Rhinolophus ferrumequinum: one gene and its partner. The protein of the gene in region 2 purifies or fractionates together with the protein of the main gene of each other region. This does not show direct contact. Links are inferred from orthologs where the notes say so. Each region holds a gene or a part of one and is shown on either strand. Other genes may lie near its edges.

Region 1 (10,497 bases), on a different chromosome or scaffold from region 2:
ATAACGATAGCTATTATTACTTTAATTGATTCAGTAATCCCCACAGACCAAACAGTTAGAAACAGTGAAGTACTGGAGTCCAGGCAACGAGCCCTTGAATACTGTATTACCTGTGAGGGATAGATAAGCCTCCGTCCACAGCTCCCTTCAGGGCCCCAAAAACTTTATTTCCAGTAGTAGTTCTGGCAAGCCCTGCATCCAAATAGCAGGTGAAGGCACCAGGTTGACCATCAATGCTTTCCACATTGTATTCATCTCCAGTCACCTCCACTTGACCTTCATAGATCTTGTCCATGCCAAACCTATTGAGAAGCTATTAACAAAGAAGCCAGACTAAATACTTGTCTGAATATATGCAAACAACAGTATCACAAGTCACAACTTTAATGACCTGACAAAACACTTTCCTTCCAATTCACTTATACCTTTATCCCAATCTATTTTAAAATACCAATTTTTAAATGCTACAAAAAGAAATTTCATTCCATTTCACCAACTGTAACAACTTTAATAGCTTTTTAATCTGCTACACGTCCATACTTGATTTATGCAACAATTGGGGATCTCCACATATTTTCAGTCATATTTGGCTAGAATTCAACAACTAAATATTAAATATTATCACATGCAGTTCTGAGTAGGATCCTGAGCTGAAGAGATCTTTTGTGGCTCTATTCTCCAACTATACTATTAACACGGGCCATTCTTCTGCTAGTACAATATCACCTAGCTATGGTTTCACAAGCAGTGCCTTTGTACCAAGCTGCTCTCATACATAATGACCTTGTTCCCCACCCCCACTCAAACTGGGTCCCCAACAATGATGCATGCTTAAAAATCCCACTGCAAAACCAGGTCAGTAATTGAGAAAAGAGTAAGGCAAAAGCACATTTTCATCTTTTCTACATGACAGGAAATGCTGCCACCCAGAGGGCAGAGATGATTAAAACAAAAAACCCCCACCAATGCCTGCCCTTCCCCCAAAATTTAAGATACTGCTTCTCAAAATGGAATTGGCCTATAAATCACTTGGACACCCTATTAAAATATAGAGATTCTGAGTATCTGGAGTAGCACCTGCATTTTAATGTTTGCTTGTAGATCAAGAGATCTACACTTTTCAATAGAAGGTAGCCACTTCAGTAGAAGGTGTCCAACAAGGTAGCCACTAACTAGCCACAAGTGGCTATTCAAATTTAAAAATTCGGTTCACCAGTAGCACTAGACATATTTCAAGTGCTCACAGCCACCTATGTCTACTGGCTACCATATTAGCATAGATTACAGATATCCACCAGTTGCAGAAACTTCTATTGGCCTAGATATACCCAACAAACCAGCAGATAGCAGAAAAACTGCTTCCCCAATTAGAAAATGCACTGCCATCTCAATCACAACCTTGTATGTATAAAACCACAACCTTCTATTTATAAAATCATCTTTCCTAGTGATTCCTAAAGAGTGCCACAGGCACTCGCTTGATTCTACAGCGGAGGGTAACTTATCCAGCTGTCAACATCTATCTTGCAGGTAACACCAAACTATGAGCTAAGCTAATTCCAAACACATCAATTACCATAATCCTGTACATACCCTGCGGGCCAGCAGCAGGCCAGTACAATATGCTGCAGCATAATTTGTCAGGCCAACCTTCACACCGTACTTGGGGAGTTCATGAGCATAAGCTGCACAAACTATCATATCTCCTTCTATACGGGCATAAGCAATCTATAATAAGAGAAACATCAGGTTAGTAATCTGCTTTCACTGTTTATTTGTCCTAAGTGCCTTCTTGTACAAAGGATTTGGAAAAAAAATAAAGACATAGATCTGTATCAATTAAAATTTGTCTTTGTTAAACCCACTCACCTCCAACTAGTTTATGGCTTGGTAAACTATAGCAGGTAACTTTGTGTCTGTAAATGTTTGATGACAGAGTAAGGCTAAAATTACCACATAGACATTGAATATTAAAATGCCTTTGGAATAAATTATACTGTAGCTCCTTACTTCTAAACACTGAAGACTCTTAGCTGGAGTAGCTGCTGAACTAAAGAGGTACTTTGAAAAGTCAAACGAATCCCCAATTATTTCAAACATCTTTTAAATTAAGCATATCTAAGTCCAATGTTTCCGACACCCAGTGTTCAGTTATCTGAACTCTGGGTATGGAAGAAGGCAATGCCTTCACAACCAACAAATGGTACGCCTGCCTCTTGCAAAGGCCCAACAAATCTCAAGTATAAAAATTTTCCCTACTTGTAAAAAAAAGCCTAGCAAATTGTGTTCTAGGAGAAAACTGCCACTTTTTGAAGGTTTTTATGTGGGAGACCCTCATACATAATTAAAACCCATTTCAACAATAAGCAGGAATAAGAACAATTCTGAGTCTAATTTAATCTTCACAAAACTACCAACCTCTTCAAAGAGCAGTGGGTATGTGGCATGTAAGACCATACTGCAAGTCAGGACTTAGTCAATGGCAAATTCTATTATTCTACTAGAATTGGAATGGGTAGGAACCTTCTACTTGCTCTCAAACGTATCCTTCCACCCCACCCACACCCACAAAATAGCACAGTACCATAAATTTCTCTAATCCTCTTCCCCCCCAATTAGAAAATGAATGGGATTAAACTGGGTCAAGACTGCTAAATATAGCTGATCTTCAGGTTTTTTTTAAAGTACCAACTTCCCAGGCTCCAATTTAAGACCCACAAAAAGGAAAAGAGCTACTCACTTACTCAATGGATGTTTCTGAGTGCCAGCCACTACAGTTGACGGACCTTCTAATCCATACATGTTTTGTTTCCCAAGTACTTCTCCAGCAAGGTGAGTTAAAGGGAGGTGGGGTTTACCATCACTGCTCGAGGCTAGAATGCAACTTACCTGGCAAATGATATCTCTGTTGGTTACCCGTACAATCATCCTATATTTGGGTGTGTTGTACTTATTTTTATCCTGGATTACCAAGCGTTTCCGGGCATAGTAATCAGTTTTACCCTCTGAAAGAAGAGAAAATAACTTAAAAGTCTACTCCACTACAAAGCAGATTCTTTTAATACTGTGAATATGAAAACCTGACCATACCACGGCGTCTTCTAAATTTCACTTGGTATCTCTTGAAGTAGGCCTTATTCTTGACGACTTTAACAAATCCCTTTAAGAAAAAAGAATGTTTATTGAAACTTGGATAAATGTTTTTGCTGATGATACTTCTGACATTTGAGCTGTAACAAATAACATTTAAACTTCAAAAGTGAATCTATAGACAGCTGTCACTTTTGTAGAATCCAGTGTTTCTCAAACCATCTGGAGTCAAGGGATCACTTTTTCTCTTACTTTCCTGTCAATGCTGGTAACAGAGTAAAAACGAATCACTGGGGAAAAATGGAAATGAACTAACATACGAAACACAGGCCAATGTCTTATATTTTCCAAAATTGTCATTGTTTTAAAATTTTTGAATGCTTCCTCTCAACTCCTGTAGCTCACAGACCAACACCAATCCTTGTGCCAAACTTTTGCAAAGCCCTGCTCCAGACAGCACTAAATCTTGCCAAACGTCCATCTGTTCTGAATACTGTCCCATTTCGAAAAACTAACCTCCTATTTCCCTAACTTTCCACGGACGGACGTTTTTAAAAAACCTAAATTACTTGCCACAAACCTGAACTGGCCAAAATCATTTTCAGCAATTACTCCTGATTAAAACAGCACTGTCCCCCACCAACGCAGCAACACCCCACCCCAAGAATCATTTAAAACCGATGCCAGCGACAGTCTATAAAGAGGCAGGAGGCGCATACCAAAAACTAAATGAGCTTCGTTTCCGGGCCCAGAGACGCCACGGCCTCCAAGCTCTACTGACGGTTTTGGCTTAAAAGAGACTTCTTCAGACCAACAACACAAGCCTTTCTTAAACCCCCGCCGACCCCAACGCTCTTCCGGAAGACCCACGGAGCAGCCAGGGATGGAGCTGGGTCCGAGAAGCTGCAGCCCGTCTCCACTCAGGCATCCCCTAGCTAGCATGAGACCAATGCAATCTCGCCTGCCCGGGCCCCCTCGAACGGGCCGGCACTATCCCCGCAGCCTGTCTACTAAACTCAGCCTCCTCCTCAACCCGCCGCCCCAACTCCTGCTTTTCTTCAATCGCCTTCCTCTCAAGCTTGCGCGCCGGGCGGCAGCCATTAAGACCACGCTAGGAGCCGCAGTCCGACCAGGGCAGAGCCGGCAATCTAATGCCATCCGCCTCCTGCGCCATGCGAGACCGACCCTAGGCTGGCATTAGAACAAAGAGAGGGAACCCCCGTCCATCTGTAGCCTCGAGATCGGGATACCCACTCACCATCCTGGTGAACAGAGCACCGCGTCCGCGGCTCACCAGAGACCTGCAGGCCCAGCTCGGCTCCGGGGGAGAAAAGACCGTAGCCTATGCGCAGGCGCGGTATGTAGCGCCGGCGATCACGCGAGCGACGTGTGAGAGAGATCCGCCGGCCGGCTGGCGTCAGGCATGCCGCCCCCTGCTGATAGGAGGACCCATGCCGCATTTCTCCTTGCCCGGAACAAATCCTTAATGATCCGACAGGTGTGGACCTTGAGCAATAGCAGGGGGCATTACATATAGGAGGCTTTCACTTTCCTATGTTAGGAAGTTTTTTCATAACGTATATTACTTTTGTAAGCAGGAAAAAGCTTAAAAGTTAAATAGAATGAATTCGTTCTGGAGCTCTTTTGCCCCCTCCAGGACTCCACCTCCTGGACTACGCATCCTGGTCCAGAACATTGGGTCCAACCCAGGAAGCCTTGCCTTCGTGCTCCAAGCCTGGGTTAGAAGCCCCTTTTCTGCCTTCCCATAGTACCTTCGTACCTGCTTCGGCCCACTCCAGATTGTAAACTCCCTGAAGGTGGGCCTGCTGTCAAGTTCGCCTTTGAATCTCCAGTACCTACATAGCACGGTGCTGACATTCAGTCAGTGCTTGGTATTTGTTAAATGGTAAGAGAACTATTGCTCTCTCCTTCCTGCTTCGTTACCGCCATCTTCTTCCCCGATCCCTGACCACCTCATTCCGTTTGTCTCCTTCCATCGCTCTGATCTAGTCAGCTTAACTGTTTTAAACATGTTTAAGTCCTTTTAAAAATTCTTTTAAAACTAATTGTAAGTGGGGAATAAGTCATTTTCTTATTCTCCACATGGAGACGGAGGAGAACCAATCAATCAAACAAACAAACACCTCAAGAGAAAGTATTCCCTCACCTAACAGTATTTCAAGGGTGGTCTTTGGGCTATTGCATGGGAATTATTTGGGTACTGGTTAAAATGAACATATATGAATAGCGTCCTCTACTGAATCAGACTCGCTGTTCTGCGGACTGGGAATCTGCATTTTAAATTTGGCCTCAATTTTAATTCAAGAGGTCTCGGGAAAGTAGAAAACAAATCCTATTTTGCCCAATAATGGAATTAACTGATTCTACTAGGAAAAGCAAATTACGTAACAGCACAGCAGTTTAAAACATTGGCATCCTCAGAATGAACTTGAACTCTGTACCCCCACCCCAATGATAAGCCTGCTCTTGGAAAATGGGTGTGCATGAGTTTAACAGGAAAGAATCAGTGTGTCAGAACCGGGAGGAGGATCTGCCAAACAAGATGACAAGGCTAACTGGTTCCAAAAAAAAAAACTGCTGCTAGAATAAATCAGAATTATGCTGCCAATTTATTCTGGTTTCAATTTGTAAATCCTTATATAGCCAGAAAAATGTAGCTTGAATCCACTCTGGCCAATGTCCGCAGAGCCCGCAAAAAGAAATGTTAAAACAATTCTCACAAGCAAGTGTGGTTCAATCTTTGTTGAGGGGCTTTTGGAAATGTAAAGGCATACAATTTGTTTTTACAGAAAATACTTAAGTTAAAGACCTTCATTTTGGTGGTTCGAGTTATTAGCCAATGAAAGGTGCCACATGTCTTGGTCAGGCACTGCTTGTATTGGAGGTGGGAGCATCAGGAAGGAAAGTCTGTATGGAAATAGGCCCACCCCTAAACTTTGCATGTTTTAGGGCAAGAGTACATACTCGCAGGAAGACCCACATACCATCCATCTGAATATTTAGAAGTTATGAATCAAGTAACGTATTGTTGAATTAAATGTTTTATTCTCCTTAACCTGCTTCTTCTTACCTTACAAATATGTATAACAACAAAATTAAAAATATATGTATCTATTCCCCTTGGTTGCAGCTGGAGGGTTGTGGCTAGTATGGCTGACACAGCCAGTGTAGTTGGTGACACTAGGAGCCAGGGAGAATTTGTCCAGCACCTTCCACCAACTAATCTTGCTCAAGTGGTAAAAGTTAAAAATCACCAGTACTGGGACAAGTCAACTTTGTGTTCCTCATGAGATGATATACTGAGAAGAACACAGAAGCACTTTGTGCCAAATTTATCTAATCTAATCTAATTACATAGTCTAGCTAATCTGATACATGATGAAACTGCAAACAAACCCAAATTGAGGGACATTCTACAAAGTAATTGGTCTGTATTTATGACAAAATCATGATAGATAAAGAAACGCTAAAAAAATACTCCAGATTGAAAGAGACCAAAGTGACATGACAACTGTACGCAATGTATGATCTTAGATTGCATCCTGGACAAGAAAGGAAAAAGAGAAAAAGAAGGCTTTTTATTTCTTTTGTGTAAATGACGTTCTCAGAACAATCAGTGAAATCTAAATGGAGTCTGTAGATTAGATGGTAATAATAGATCAATGTTAATTTTATTTTGATAGATACACTATGGTTATGTATGAGACTGCTCTGTAGGAAATACCCTCTGAACTATTTTGGAGTAATGGGTATTATTTCTGCAACTTACTCTCAACAAGTGACTCAGATAAAAGTTACATATGTGTGTATAAAAAGAAAGAAAACAAGGCAAATGTGTTAAAAAGTTAACAATGAGTAATCTGGGAGAAGGGTAGATGGAAATTCTTTGTACTGTTCTAAAACCAATTTGTGATTTTGAAATTATTTCAAAGTGAAAATAAAACATTGAGTCCTATTGGAATGTGAAATATATCTTTTATTATTTGAAATGAAAGTCAACTTAGTGTTATCAGATATGTCAAACATATGTTATAAATAGAAAATAATTCAGTAATTTTTAGTTCTGGTAGTGATGACAATACCAATATATGAAAAGATTTCTCTGATGTTACCAATATGATTTTGAAGTACCTACTTACTACTCTGATCAGCAGGTTTTGTATTGAAACCACCAACTTTCTTAATTATAATCAAAAAGCATCTTGTTATTTCAAAATATCTTTTTCTTGGGCGGCCCTGTGGCTCAGGTGATTGGTGCACTGTGCTCCTAATGCCTAGGTCGCCGGTTCAATTCCTAGATGGGCCAGTGAGCTGCACCCTCTACAGCTAAGATTGTGCACAACGGCTCAACCTGGAGCTGGGCTGTGGTGGGCTGCTGTGACCTGCCAACCATCAGTCCACTGACTGCCTAGCAAGGCTCATAATACCAACATGGGCCAGGGAGCTGCGTCCTTCACAACCAGACTGAGAACAACGGTTTGAACTGGAGTTGGGGGTGGGGGGAAAGAAAACCTAAAAAAAAAAATTATATATATATATACACATATACACACACACATAATATATCTTTTTCTTTGCAATTGGTTTTTGCGTTACATTAGTTTCTGGTTTTACATCTACATGAACGGTAGCAAATAGAGTAAACAACTTTATGATTGGGTCCCCTTTGTTGATATTAATCCATTAGAAACATTTAAAACTTTTTAAACCTGTACTTTTATCTAGGAAAAAATAATTAGCCCTCAGTGAAGAATAATCTTCGTTTCTTAAAGAAAAATGTGTAAAGCTATAGTTTTTAATGGGACCAAGAGTCAGCAGAATATCAGGACAACCATAACTAAGATTAAGCATGTCTGGGTGTTCTGTTGCTAGGCTACTGATGAAAAACACACAATTCGTAAATTATATTTATTCCATAAAAGTTTCTCTTTGTATCTTCATTTCAGCAAAATTTCTATGATGTCGTCACCAAGAGATCACATCATTTGTGTTCTACAGATAGTAATGCCAAATTAGACAACCTTTTTTGGGTCATTGTGGTTCTTAAATAATTTGTATTGTCAATTAGGAGAAATTTTGCTGGGATGAAGCAAGAGAAACTGGATTTTAAATAAAATTCATATCTAAATAAAATTCAGTCTAAGCAATACTTAGATTTGAAAATGAACCATAATTTTTACATGTCAAATTCAAACTGTATGGTGTCATATATTATAAATTATTGTTTTCACAGAAACTATTGCTAGATATTTTGATATTGTCATATAAATCACTGTCATTTTTATTGCGATTTTTCTCTGTCTCTTACAGTAGTGTAGTATCCACACACACAGGTTTTGTTATTCTTCCAACATTTAAATGCTGATGTATGGTAAAGGAAAACAAATAACAACAAATAACAATATGTTGCTCCATTTCTTCAAATGTCTTTTCAATCAGACTATACACTGATCTATCAGGGTCAGGAAACCATCTCTATAGACATTAGTATTAGGTTTATTTATTTCTTTATTTAAATTTATTGGGGGTAACATTGGTTGTTACAATTATACAAGTTTCAGCTACATAGTTTTTTTTTTTTTTTTAAGATTTTATTGGGGAAGGGGAGCAAGACCTTATTGGGGAACAGTGTGTACTTCCAGGATTTTTCCAAGTCAAGCTGTTGTCCTTTCAATTGTAGTTCTGGAGGGCGCAACTACGCCCTCCAGGTCCAGTTGCTGTTAATTGCAGGGGGCGCAGCCCACCATCCCTTGTGGGAGTCGAACTGACAACCTTGTGGTTGAGAGGACATGCTCCAACCAACTGAGCCATCTGGGAGCTTAGTGGCAGCTCAGCGGCAACTCAGCTCAAGGTGCTGTGTTCAATCTTAGTTGCAGGGGGCACTGCCCACCATCCCTTGCAGGAGTCAAGGAGTCGAACTGGCAACTTTGTGGTTGAGAGCCCACTGGCCCATGTGGGAATCGAACCAGCAGATTTGAAGGGCAGAAAAATAGACACAGACCAATGGAACATAATTGACAGCCCAGAAATAAACCCACACATATATGGACAACTAATTTTCGACAAAGGAGCCAAAAACATACAATGGAGAAAGGAAAGCCTCTTCAATAAATGGTGTTGGGGAAACTGGAAAGCCACATGCAAAAGAATGAATCTAGACCGCTATCTGACACCATACACAAAAATTAACTTGAAATGGATTAAAGATTTGAACATAAGACCTTAAATAATAAAATACATAGAAGAAAACAAGGCACTAAACTTATGGACCTTGGTCTGAGAGAGGTTTTCATGTACTTGACCCCAAAGGCAAGTGAAATAAAAGCAAAAATAAATGAATGGGATTACATCAAACTAAAAAGCTTCTGCACAGCAGAGAAACCATGAACAAAATAAAAAGGCAACCAACTGCATAGGAGAAGATGTTTGCAAATGATAACTTGATATGGGGCCAATATCCAAAAATATGTAAAGAAATCATACAATTCAACAACAACAACAAAAACCCCAAACAATTTAATTAAAAATTAGCAGAAGACCTGAACAGACACTTTTCCCAAGAAGACATACAGATGGCCAATAGATGTATGAAAAGATGATCAACTTCACTAGCTATAAGGAAAATGCAAATCAAAACTACAATGAGATACCACCTCATGTCTGTTAGAATGGCTATTACCAATAAGACAAGAAATAACAAGTGTTGGAGAGTGTGGAGTAACAAATGTGGAGAAAAGAGAACTCTCGTACACTGCTGATGGGAATGTAAATTGGTACAGCCATTATGGAAAACAGTATAGAGGTGCTTCCAAAAATTAAGAATAAAGCTACCATATGACCCAGCAATCCCTCTTCTGAGTATCTACATGAAAAATTTGAAAACATTTATTTGTAAAGATATATGTACCCCTATGTCCACTGCAACATTATTTACATTAGCTAAGACATGGAAACAACCTAAGTGTCCTTTGACAAACAACTGGATAAAGAAAATGTGGGATATATATACAATGGAATACTACTCAGCCATAAAAAATGATGGAATGTTGCCATTTGCAGCAACATGGATGGATCTTCAGAGTATTATGCTACATAAGTGAAATAAGTCAGACGAAAAGGACAAGCACCATGTGATTTCATTCATATGTGGTTTATAAAACAGAAAGCAACAAACAAACAAACAAATAAAACAAAAAACGTAGACACAGACAACAGTATGGTGGTTACCAGAGGGGAGTGGGAATGGGGGGGAAGATGAAGAGGGTAAAGGGGTCAAACATATGGTGACAGAAGGGGACTAGACTTTGGGTAGTAAGCACACAATACAATATATAGATGATGTCTTATAAAACTATATACCTGAGGGTGGGCCTGGTGGCTCAGGCT
Region 2 (10,129 bases):
CCCCCTGAGACCTCAACAGGAGAATCCAGATCTAACCCAACCAATCAGGACTGGAAGGCCGGAAAGATGGCCACCACACCGACACCTGGCCTTCAAGTCCTGCCTGGGGAGGCCAGCCCCTGGGAAAGCGAACAAGAAAGGCCTAAGTCATCAGCCTCCTAGTGATTACTTCTGACGGCTATCAATACACCCACCATAAACACACACAAAGTATCCTGTTTTGATGATGCATAATTTTATGTGAGGGAATATATTTGCTATCTATTGCTGTATAACAAACTGTCCCCCAAATTTAACAACTGAAAACAATAAACATTTATTATCTCACACCATTTCTGTGGATCGCGAACTTGCGACTGGCTTCACTGGGCAGTTGTGGTTCTGAACACTGTAGTCAGGTCTCAGGCAGGGCTATCGTCATCGGGATACTTGACTAGGGCAGGAAGATCTGTTTGCAAGGTGGCTCACACATATGGCTGTTGGCAGGAGGCTTCAGTTCCTTGCTGGCTATTAATAGGAGACTGATTAACTCCCATGTGAACCTCTCCATAGGGCTTCTGGGGTGTCTTCAGAACATAGCTGGTTTCCCCCAGAGCAAGTGATCCTAGAGAGAGAGCAAGGAGGAAGGAAGCCACAATGCCTTTTAAAACCTAGTCTCAGACGTTACACCATCAATTCTACCACTTTTTAGTCATTAGAACTGAGTCACGAAGTTTAGCCCACACTCAAAGGGAAAGAGATTAGCTTTTATCCCTGGAAAGGAGTGGTTATCAAACAATTTTTGGATAGATTTTAACAGGAGATTTCCTAATTCAAATAGTTACAAGATCTCTATCAAGACAACTCTAAAGCTTTTTTTGAGAGACGTCCATCGGAGGATTAGTTAATGGTGGCTCCCAGGAGCCTCAATCAACAGGAAACTTCCAGTGAGCTAGGGAGATGGGTAGAGGTAAGAGAGGAAGGGTGGTACGGCTTTAGGACAGGTTATTAGAGAGCAGTCTAAAGTTTATCATCTCTGCGTTCTTGGGTTTGACATTCCAGGTCATTCCATCTTAAAACTTCACTATTCAGCCTGTCCAGGGGCCATCAGGCATGAAGACCATCATCTTTCCTCCCTTCCTTCCTTCCTACCTTCCTTTCTTCCTTCTTTCCTTCCTTCCTACCTTCATTCCTTCCTTCATTCCTTCCTTCCTGCTTTCCTTCCTTCCTACCTTCATTCCTTCCTTCATTCCTTCCTTCTTTCCTTCCTTCTTACTTTCCTTCCTCCCCTCACCCTTTCTCTTTATTTCCTCAGGTCACCCAAGAATGATTTAAACTAGGGAGTCTATTTAACAATTTATCCGGAGAATTACAACTGGTGTCTTACTAATATTACCCTAGTTTGTTTGTATACTCCTTACTGTGGGGAAATAAAACAGACACTGAATTTTATCTTTCGGAAGCTATTTTTGCAGGTGGATCCTTTCATTTCTGATAATCTACATGCTCAGTGTTAATAAAGAGCTCCATTTCATACAGACTCACATAAGCAGGAACACACTTTCGGTGAAGATCAAGGGGGACCCCTGATCTCCCCATGACTTGTACACTCACAGAAACTTGAGAGTGATGCACCAGCCAGTAAGGGGACCTGGGCAGGGTACCAACAGCATTCACTACACTGGTGATTCTTAATTTAGTCAAGTCACTTCAGATATGCTCTATAGAGCCCCACCCAAAGTGCCAACCAAGCATTATGCTAAGTGATCGGTAAATAACAGACATTATCACAGGCATGGATAAGATCAAACATCCTCAGCCTCCGGTTATGAACACAAACAGCATCAACTAAACAAAACTTTTACACTATAATCCTAATCAACTCTGGGCTTCAGAGTCATAACCAAAACATGACTGTGGTTAGCTGCAACCAAAAAGACAAGGAACGCTGGCCTAGATGGTATTCCTCGGATGCTTTTCATTCTTGTGTGTCTATGGAAAGAAATGTTGCCTATATGTATAACTCATTACCAAAGACTGTTGCAGGGTTTCTTTCCACATTTGAGAAAAGGGCTGAGGAATTGCTAGGAGCCTTTCAAATTTGATCGGTTTTCTCATTTGCAAAATGAGGATGAAGTGCCGCCATCTTGTGGTTATTTCATGCAATTTCCTTTCCTGAAACTCTGCCCAGTACTGGCGTTTAAACACAATCATACTCAGTTTAAAGATGGGGATATGTTCTGAGAAATGCGTCATTAAGCAATTTTAGGCAATTTGATCATTGTGCAAACATCAGAGAGTGCACTTACACAAACTAGATGGTATAGCCTACGCTATCTGGTATACCACATCATATCATATATAAGGTTTGTCCTTATGTGGCACATGACTGTAGCACATTCCGTTTCTATAGGTCTCCATTAGCGTTGCCCATTGCTCAGAGTAAAAATTCTGAGTTAATTTACACCAAAATAACACAGTGAGCCATAGACGGGGCTAAATAAAAGAGGAATAGATGCTACCGTGTCTGTATGATCCTTCCCAATAGGTGAATAGTCCTATCTACCGAGAAAGAAAAGGCCCCAGGTGCCACATGGCTTTAAAGTTTGAGTCTGGAACAGGCCTGGGAAACCCACAGCTCCCCCTCAGCTCTGCTGCACGTGCAGGTCATTTTCTCAGCTGGAACTTTTTGGGAAATCTGTCTTGTACATCACCTCCAAACTAATCTCTAATCAACCAATGCTTGATGGAAAATAAGACTCTCATCAGACCCAAGTCACTCATCCTGGCCTTCATTCAAGGCTTCCTATGTTCTGCGTCTTACATGTTAGATCCTTCATGTTCTTTGTCCAACTACTGACCAGGATGAACCTTACACCTCTAGCAGGTTATTTCTGGTTTTTGCTTCCACTCTCCTTCCTCCATCAATCTTAATGACCTACACACTCTTCCATAAATACCTACCGTTGTTTCCCTGAAAATAAGACCTAGCCAGACAATCAGCTATAATACATCTTTTAGAGCAAAAATTAATTTAAGACCCAGTCTTATAGTAAAATAAGTCTTATAGTAAAATAAGACTGGGTCTTTAATATAACACTAATATAATATAAATATAAAACTCAGTCTTGTATTAATTTTTGCTCCAAAAGATACATTAGAGCTGATTGTCCGGCTAGGTCTTATTTTTGGGGAAACAGGGTAAAACCCCTTCTGGCCCTGAAGTCTTCCTCAGGAGCCCAGGCTCCCCCCAAAGTGTCTTCCAGTCAGCCTCCCATACTACTACATTTCAGCACTTGGTTATGTTCCGTCTCCCTGGATTACAAAATCTCTGAAGTCAGAGGTCAAGAGTTAGTATTACCATTGTCTTTATTATTTCCCTAGATCTCCGCATTGCTTACTCCCTTGCTTAAGATCTCTGCTCAAATGTCACCTCTTCACTGAGGACCTCTGTGAAACAATGCAAGATTCCTTAACACTTATCAATACCTGATACATGACATATTTACTTGATTTTCCATCTCCCCACAGAATGTACTCTCCATGATGGCAGTGACTTGTTGGTTTACTACTGTATCCCTACACCTAGAAAGATAACTGGCATGCAATAGGTATTTAAATTGGTGAACTGAGTAAAACAGCTGGCCTGCCCAAATGTGAGTGGGCATCATCCAATACTTTGAGTGCCAGAACAGAACAAAAGGTGAAGAAGGGAGGGCAGATTGGTTCTATCTCTGCTTGAGCTGAGACATCCATCTTCGCCCCTTGGACATCAGCCCTCCTGGTTCTTATGCTTAGACTCAGATGCTCATTTATCTAAAATATGACTTGGTTAGCTTTCAGCTCAGTGACTCCTCCGGCTTTTTGTATTTAATCCACAGAAATGTGTTTCATTATGTATATATACATATATATATGTATATACATGTATATATGTGTGTGTACATGTTTCTACATGCACATACTATGTGTATATTTATATACATATGTGTATGTGTATGTTTACCCGAGACAAAACTTTTACAAATCAATACCCTTACTCTATGTGACGTACTATTATTTCCTATTCTCATTCATCCTGTGTTTTTTTTTAATGCTGGCCAAGAATGTCTAAATTAATTCTGCAATCCCCTAAAGGACTCTGACTTCTTTGAAAACTCCTACCTTAGTAGATACGCACTGGTAACTCCGGGAATATTTAGGATTAAGTATAGAAATAATGAAGTAAATCAAAGGCATAGCATTAATATTCTCCATCACATTTTGGAACCACCTATTTTTTTTTTTAATTCAAGTTTATTGGGGTAATTGTTAGTAAAGTTATGTAGATTTCAGGTGTACAATTCTGTATGACAGTATCTATAAATCCCATTGTGTGTTCACCACCCAGAGTCAGTTCTCCTTCCATCACCATATATTTGAGGAGCCAACTATTTAATTTGGTATTTATAATGTTTAAGAGAATTTAACATTACAGATTATTTTTGCAATTCCATTTTTAAATGTGAAATGAACTGATTCAGACTCATAATTGTAAGTGGATATATATATAACAGAATTTAACCATGTTTGCAAGCAATATTGAGATTATGAGATTTTAAGATTTACCAACATATTTTTAAGTTTAATATGTTGGGTTTTAAGAGTGAGCTCAGTACTCGGATTTTTGTCAAGTAACTGACTTGCTTAAAAAGAAAGAATATATTACATTTGTAAGTGTACTTTAGTTATAGGAATTTAAGTTATAAAAATCCCCTTAAAGATTGTTTTAAATTTACCAGCATACATACTACTTTAGGATAACCAGGTTTCAATATTAATTATTAAAGCAAAGGTAATTTCGAAAGTCGCCTGCGTTTCCAAAAGCCACCCTCGTGCACAAGGCAGCAGCTCCAGTTCACTCGGAGAGAACCGGGTGTTCAGATTTAAGGGCCCTTCAACAGGATGAGCAACACATGGTCCCGGCAAAGGAGCTGGGTTCTATTCAAGAGGAAGGAGAAACTGACCTAGAAGACGTGGAATCGTCTTTCTTTTCTATTTTATCGCCTGCCACCATCATTTTTAAAAAATAATACATAACATACAACTTAAAAACACAAAATCAGCCACGAGGAGTGACTGCGTCAGCGCACCCCAGGTCCCGCTTCCGTCCCCCAAGAGGAGGAAAAGGCGCGCGGCCATGGGGCTCTGGGAGGGTTGTCCCCAAGTGGCGGGAAGAAAGGGGTTTTGGGGGATGCGGGGAGCCGGGGGGGTCTGGAGCCTGAGGTCACCGGCGCCGCGGAAAGCGGGCTCGGCAAGTTTATCTGGGAACGGAGGCCGCGACTAGCGCGGGGCCTCCAGACCGATGTCACCTTAGCCTTGCGGCCCGGAATTTATATCATGAAAAAAATTAGGGCCTGCACTATCATCCAGAAAAGCGTTTTTCCAAACCGTCCAGTCTTGCGGCCTGCAGGGCCCGGCCCCGGCCCGCGCGTCCGCGGCAACTGCGTCAGTTCGCGCCGCTGCTGAGGCCGGAAAAGGCCACCCTGCCCGCGCTCGCGCCACCTCCACTGCCATCCAAGCTAAGGCGATACCATCCCGCGGACCCCTCCGAACAGCCGGAAAGGTATCGTCCCCAGCCTCTGATTGGCCGGCGGCGCGGGGGCGTGGCCTCCGGAGCCTGGTTCTGCGCGCCAGAGCCCACTCGCCGCATTGCGAGCCGGGCCAGGAGCGGGCGCCATGGTGAGGAGTGGTTGTGGGGTGCGGGAGAGGAGAAGGCCGCGGTTTGGGCCTGGGTTCGGACCAGAGCCAGGGCCGGAGCCTGCCCTGGGAGCGGGGCCAGATGAACGCGGGGACCGCGCTGACGCTGACGCTGGCGCCCTGACTCCCGTTCCAGGTGCTGCTGCACGTGCTGTTCGAGCACGCGGTTGGCTACGCGCTGCTGGCGCTGAAGGAGGTGGAGGAGATCAGCCTGCTGCTGCCGCAGGTGGGTGGAAGCGGTGGGCTTGCGGGCCACACGGTCCCCAGCATGCACTGCGCGCTCCCACGTGGCCGGCCGCTCGCGTTGTGGGTGCGCTGAGCCTGAAAGCTCCAGAGCAGGGGTTCCTTACCTGCATTCGAGACTAGAATCGCGTTAGGACCATTTAGAAGTAAGCGTCCGGCCCTCCACTCAGTATCCAAGAAGAAGAACCGGGATTTAGGGCCAAATAATCGATCGGTTCATTCTTCAAGTGTTCAGTTGGTTCTTATATACGTCCAGGGCTGAGAACCGTTGCTTTACTGCGCCCTAGAGGCGACAGCGCGGGAAGGAACCTCCCATCCTTTTTCTACCCCCAGGTGGAGGAGTGCGTGCTCAACTTAGGCAAGTTCCACAACCTCGTTCGTCTCGTGGCCTTTAGTCCCTTTGCCTCGTCCCAGATTGCCTTGGAAAATGCCAACGCTGTGTCTGAAGGTGAGTCGGCCACCTCCAAGTATTGCAGAGATTTAAGCAGAGATATAGTTCCTCCTACTGTATAGTTCTTCTCCTAGGGAGTTGATGATAGTATTTGCCTTTATTCGGCTAATTTATTCTAAATCTGATTATGTTTTGGATGGTATTTGATGTGTACAGGATGTGATTTAAAATAGTCTTTCAGAGCTCCTGGTCTGAATGTTATATTTAAAGCACACAATCCAGCATGCAGTCTTACCCTGTGAACTCTAGTGATAAATGATTCTCAAATGCAATGGCGGGGGGGGGGGGGGGGGGGGGGGGGTGGTACTGGTTCAGTGCTAAACCTTTACAAGTGGTTCTCTACTATTTGGTTTAATTGATTGGAAAGAGCATTTTTCATACATGAAAGCCAAGAAAAAGGTTTGGTCCCAGAAGGCAAATCTGGAGCTAAATACTTTAGTAGTTGATGGTGCTCAGGGGTGTGCTTTGAGCTTTCAGTTATGCGTTTCACCTTGTACTATTGGACCTGAGTCCTGTTCTTCCCGTGACCCATTCACGCTTTGCAGTGATGACTTGAGTCTGTCAATCCCCTGAGTGCAATCACTGATGTCTCCATGTCTCTGAGCAAAGCCTGAAGGGGAGGGGTCTAGGCATGCCTTCCCAGCATGCTCTGCTGGACCAATGTAAGAACAGTCTGTCACTTAATCAGCAGTTGAGGACACGGGATCCCTTTTATGGTTTAAGCATCCTTCAATCTGTTAGTGGGAGCTCTGTTTTTTGCCCTGAGGTGTTGTTCATGAGGACCTCCGCCTGCTCTTGGAGACTCACTTGCCATCCAAAAAGAAGAAAGTACTCTTGGGGGTTGGGGACCCCAAGATTGGTGCTGCTATACAAGAAGAGTTAGGGTACAACTGCCAGACTGGAGGCGTGATAGCCGAAATCCTTCGAGGTGAGACAATTATCTGTTAACATTCATGCCATTCTTGACATCTTTGAGGGGGTTCCGGAAACATATTAGGGAGCTTAAAGTTGCTTCTGGTAAGTCCTCCTGCTTGGCTGGTGCGCATGGGTGCAGGAGCTAGCTCAGAGCCCTTCGTTGCTCATAGTCTTGCCCTCCTCCAGGAGTTCGTCTGCACTTCCACAACCTGGTGAAGGGGCTGACCGATCTGTCTGCTTGTAAAGCCCAGCTGGGGCTGGGACACAGCTATTCTCGTGCCAAAGTTAAGTTTAATGTGAACCGGGTGGACAATATGATTATCCAGTCCATTAGCCTCCTGGACCAGCTAGATAAGGACATCAACACCTTCTCCATGCGTGTCAGGTAAAGTACGGGGCAACCCTTGAGAACGGGGCTGTGGCCTGTGGTTTAGCTAGTTTTGAATCGTGAGATGAGGACTGGCTCCTATGGGTAGAACTGTGGGGTGGGGCTGGGCCTCCCGGTGCTTACCACAGGCTGTGTTTTTACACTGACTGTACAGAAAGAGGAGGCAGAATAAACCCACCTCATATACACCTCAGCCCAGGCCCTTTACCTGGTCTGTATTGTGAATGGGGAGACATGGAGTTGAGGAGGTTTGGGATCTGACTTGTTCCCACTTCCTCCCGGCAAAGAGTAGTTGTGAAAACAACTGAGGCTGTGGCTTTATTTATTTGAGACATGGCAGCTGGGTGAGGGAGAGATTGGGCTCTTTGCAGGGAGTGGTATGGATATCACTTTCCCGAGCTGGTGAAGATCATCAGTGACAACGCTACCTACTGCCGCGTTGCTCAGTTCATTGGGAACCGAAAAGAGTTGAATGAAGAAAAGTTGGAGAAGCTGGAAGAGCTGACGATGGATGGGGCCAAAGCTAAAGCTATTCTGGATGCCTCGCGGTCCTCCATGGGTCAGTACCAAAGCCTGGCGGCCAAAGTAAGATACAGGGCTCTGAATATCTGGCTCCTGCATTCACATTTGGTGTCCTTCAGGCATGGACATATCAGCCATCGACTTGATAAACATCGAGAGCTTCTCCAGTCGTGTGGTGTCTTTGTCAGAGTACCGCCAGAGCCTGCACACTTACCTGCGATCCAAGATGAGCCAAGTAGCCCCCAGCCTGTCGGCCCTAATTGGGGAAGCGGTGCGTCGTGGAGAATGAAAAAACGGGATTGAGCAATGTTACCATGTATATCTGTACTGCTGTATTTCCTGACCTGCCATGTCTTCCACGGTTGCCCTTGAAGGGGGGTCAGGGGGAGGTGAAGCAGGATTGTGCAGTTGGCAGGTTGGCCATTCCAGCTTCTGTGACTGATTCCTTGAATCCTTCTCTAGGTAGGCGCACGTCTCATTGCTCATGCTGGCAGCCTCACCAACCTGGCCAAGTATCCAGCATCCACAGTGCAGATCCTTGGGGCTGAAAAGGCCCTGTTCAGGTACCAGTGAGGGCACCTGCCCACACTCAGGTGCCACTTCTGGTGCCCACTGCTTGTTTGGGGATCACAATGATGGCTGACCAGGGCTTCCTGACCTATGCAGGCCTCTGCTATGGGGGTGATGGCCAGTCCTGGTGTCTGAGTGATTCCCAGGGCCCAGCAAAGGGACCAAGTTTCCAGGTCAGCGACATTGGATGCCTTCCCTTTGCCTCTGGGAGCTGTGGGTTGGCAAGAGATGGGACAGAGACCCAGCCCAGCCTGAGGCTCACTCTGGAGACTGAGAGCAAAGGGGAGGGGAGGCGCTGCCTTGGCGAATAGGGTTGAAATTTCTGATCTTAAACTGTCCACTGAATATTCTTCTCCCAGGGCCCTGAAGACAAGGGGTAACACTCCAAAATACGGACTCATTTTCCATTCCACCTTCATTGGCCGAGCAGCTGCCAAGAACAAAGGCCGCATCTCCCGATACCTGGCAAACAAATGCAGTATTGCCTCACGAATTGATTGCTTTTCTGGTATGGGTGGAGGAGTTGGCATTTGTGAGAAAGGGGCTTGGAGGGAGGGGAGGCTGAATACCGTAGCTTCTACAATGATGGTAACATTTTTCGTCAACAGCAGTTCACCTAGTGAGTGTTGATATTTTGGGTCTGAGTGAAGCTGAGGGTAAAGGAAGTACTCGGGGTGGGGAGTAGTTTGTCTCTTTAGGAGCTGACAGGTTTTGTTTACCCACACACATAACATCCAGAGGTGCCCACAAGTGTCTTTGGGGAGAAGCTTCGAGAACAAGTTGAGGAACGGCTGTCCTTCTATGAGACTGGAGATATTCCACGAAAGAATCTGGAGGTCATGAAGGAGGCAATGGTTCAGGTCAGTTCAGGCTTTGCTAGGTTGGGGGAGAACCATAGCTGACTGTTGGAGGTGATGAACTATCTTAGCCTGACCTTGTAGGTGGAGGCAAAAAACTGATTTAATGAGCCTGATCCAAAAAAGCCAGGTGGGAGGTCTGGAGGGCCAGAGCTCTTCAGAGCCTTTTCAGCACTTTTCTTTGGCCAGGCTGAGGAAGCGGCTGCCGAGATTACTAGGAAGCTGGAGAAACAGGAGAAAAAACGCTTGAAGAAGGAAAAGAAACGGTTGGCTGCAATTGCCCTCGCATCTTCAGAAAATAGTAGTACGCCGGAGGAGTGTGAGGTCAGTAGGCAGATTGGCCCTATGTGAAGAGCCGGGTTGTATGGTTTTCAACAGCAGAACAAAGGATCTGTGGCCTCAGAGCCATGGTCTTTAGTCCAGAGTCAAGGCTGAAATAGCTAAAACTGCCTCTTGATTCTATAG

The links. Proteins that work in one complex are often made in the same cells at the same time.
Region 1: the proteins of NOP56 (region 2) and RPL5 purify together in Homo sapiens (affinity purification with mass spectrometry; 3 studies listed by BioGRID and IntAct, with this or other methods). This does not show direct contact. The link is inferred for Rhinolophus ferrumequinum from reciprocal best matches to the Homo sapiens genes NOP56 and RPL5.

Annotation. Positions count from the first base shown.
Region 1 is NC_046292.1:70,127,353-70,137,849, reverse strand, and holds the start of RPL5 (60S ribosomal protein L5), read right to left. Parts: upstream 4,469-10,497; 5' UTR 4,352-4,468; coding exon 4,349-4,351; intron 3,161-4,348; coding exon 3,091-3,160; intron 3,006-3,090; coding exon 2,890-3,005; intron 1,729-2,889; coding exon 1,594-1,728; intron 314-1,593; coding exon 111-313; intron 1-110.
Region 2 is NC_046306.1:24,886,471-24,896,599, forward strand, and holds the start of NOP56 (nucleolar protein 56), read left to right. Parts: upstream 1-5,589; 5' UTR 5,590-5,697; coding exon 5,698-5,700; intron 5,701-5,854; coding exon 5,855-5,944; intron 5,945-6,294; coding exon 6,295-6,409; intron 6,410-6,951; exon of another isoform or gene 6,952-7,019; intron 7,020-7,178; coding exon 7,179-7,340; intron 7,341-7,513; coding exon 7,514-7,712; intron 7,713-7,821; exon of another isoform or gene 7,822-7,953; intron 7,954-8,086; coding exon 8,087-8,274; intron 8,275-8,356; coding exon 8,357-8,508; intron 8,509-8,699; coding exon 8,700-8,800; intron 8,801-8,862; exon of another isoform or gene 8,863-8,948; intron 8,949-9,166; coding exon 9,167-9,315; intron 9,316-9,384; exon of another isoform or gene 9,385-9,455; intron 9,456-9,545; coding exon 9,546-9,667; intron 9,668-9,713; exon of another isoform or gene 9,714-9,783; intron 9,784-9,853; coding exon 9,854-9,988; intron 9,989-10,129. UniProt on the Homo sapiens protein: Involved in the early to middle stages of 60S ribosomal subunit biogenesis. Required for the biogenesis of box C/D snoRNAs such U3, U8 and U14 snoRNAs. Part of the small subunit (SSU) processome, first precursor of the small eukaryotic ribosomal subunit.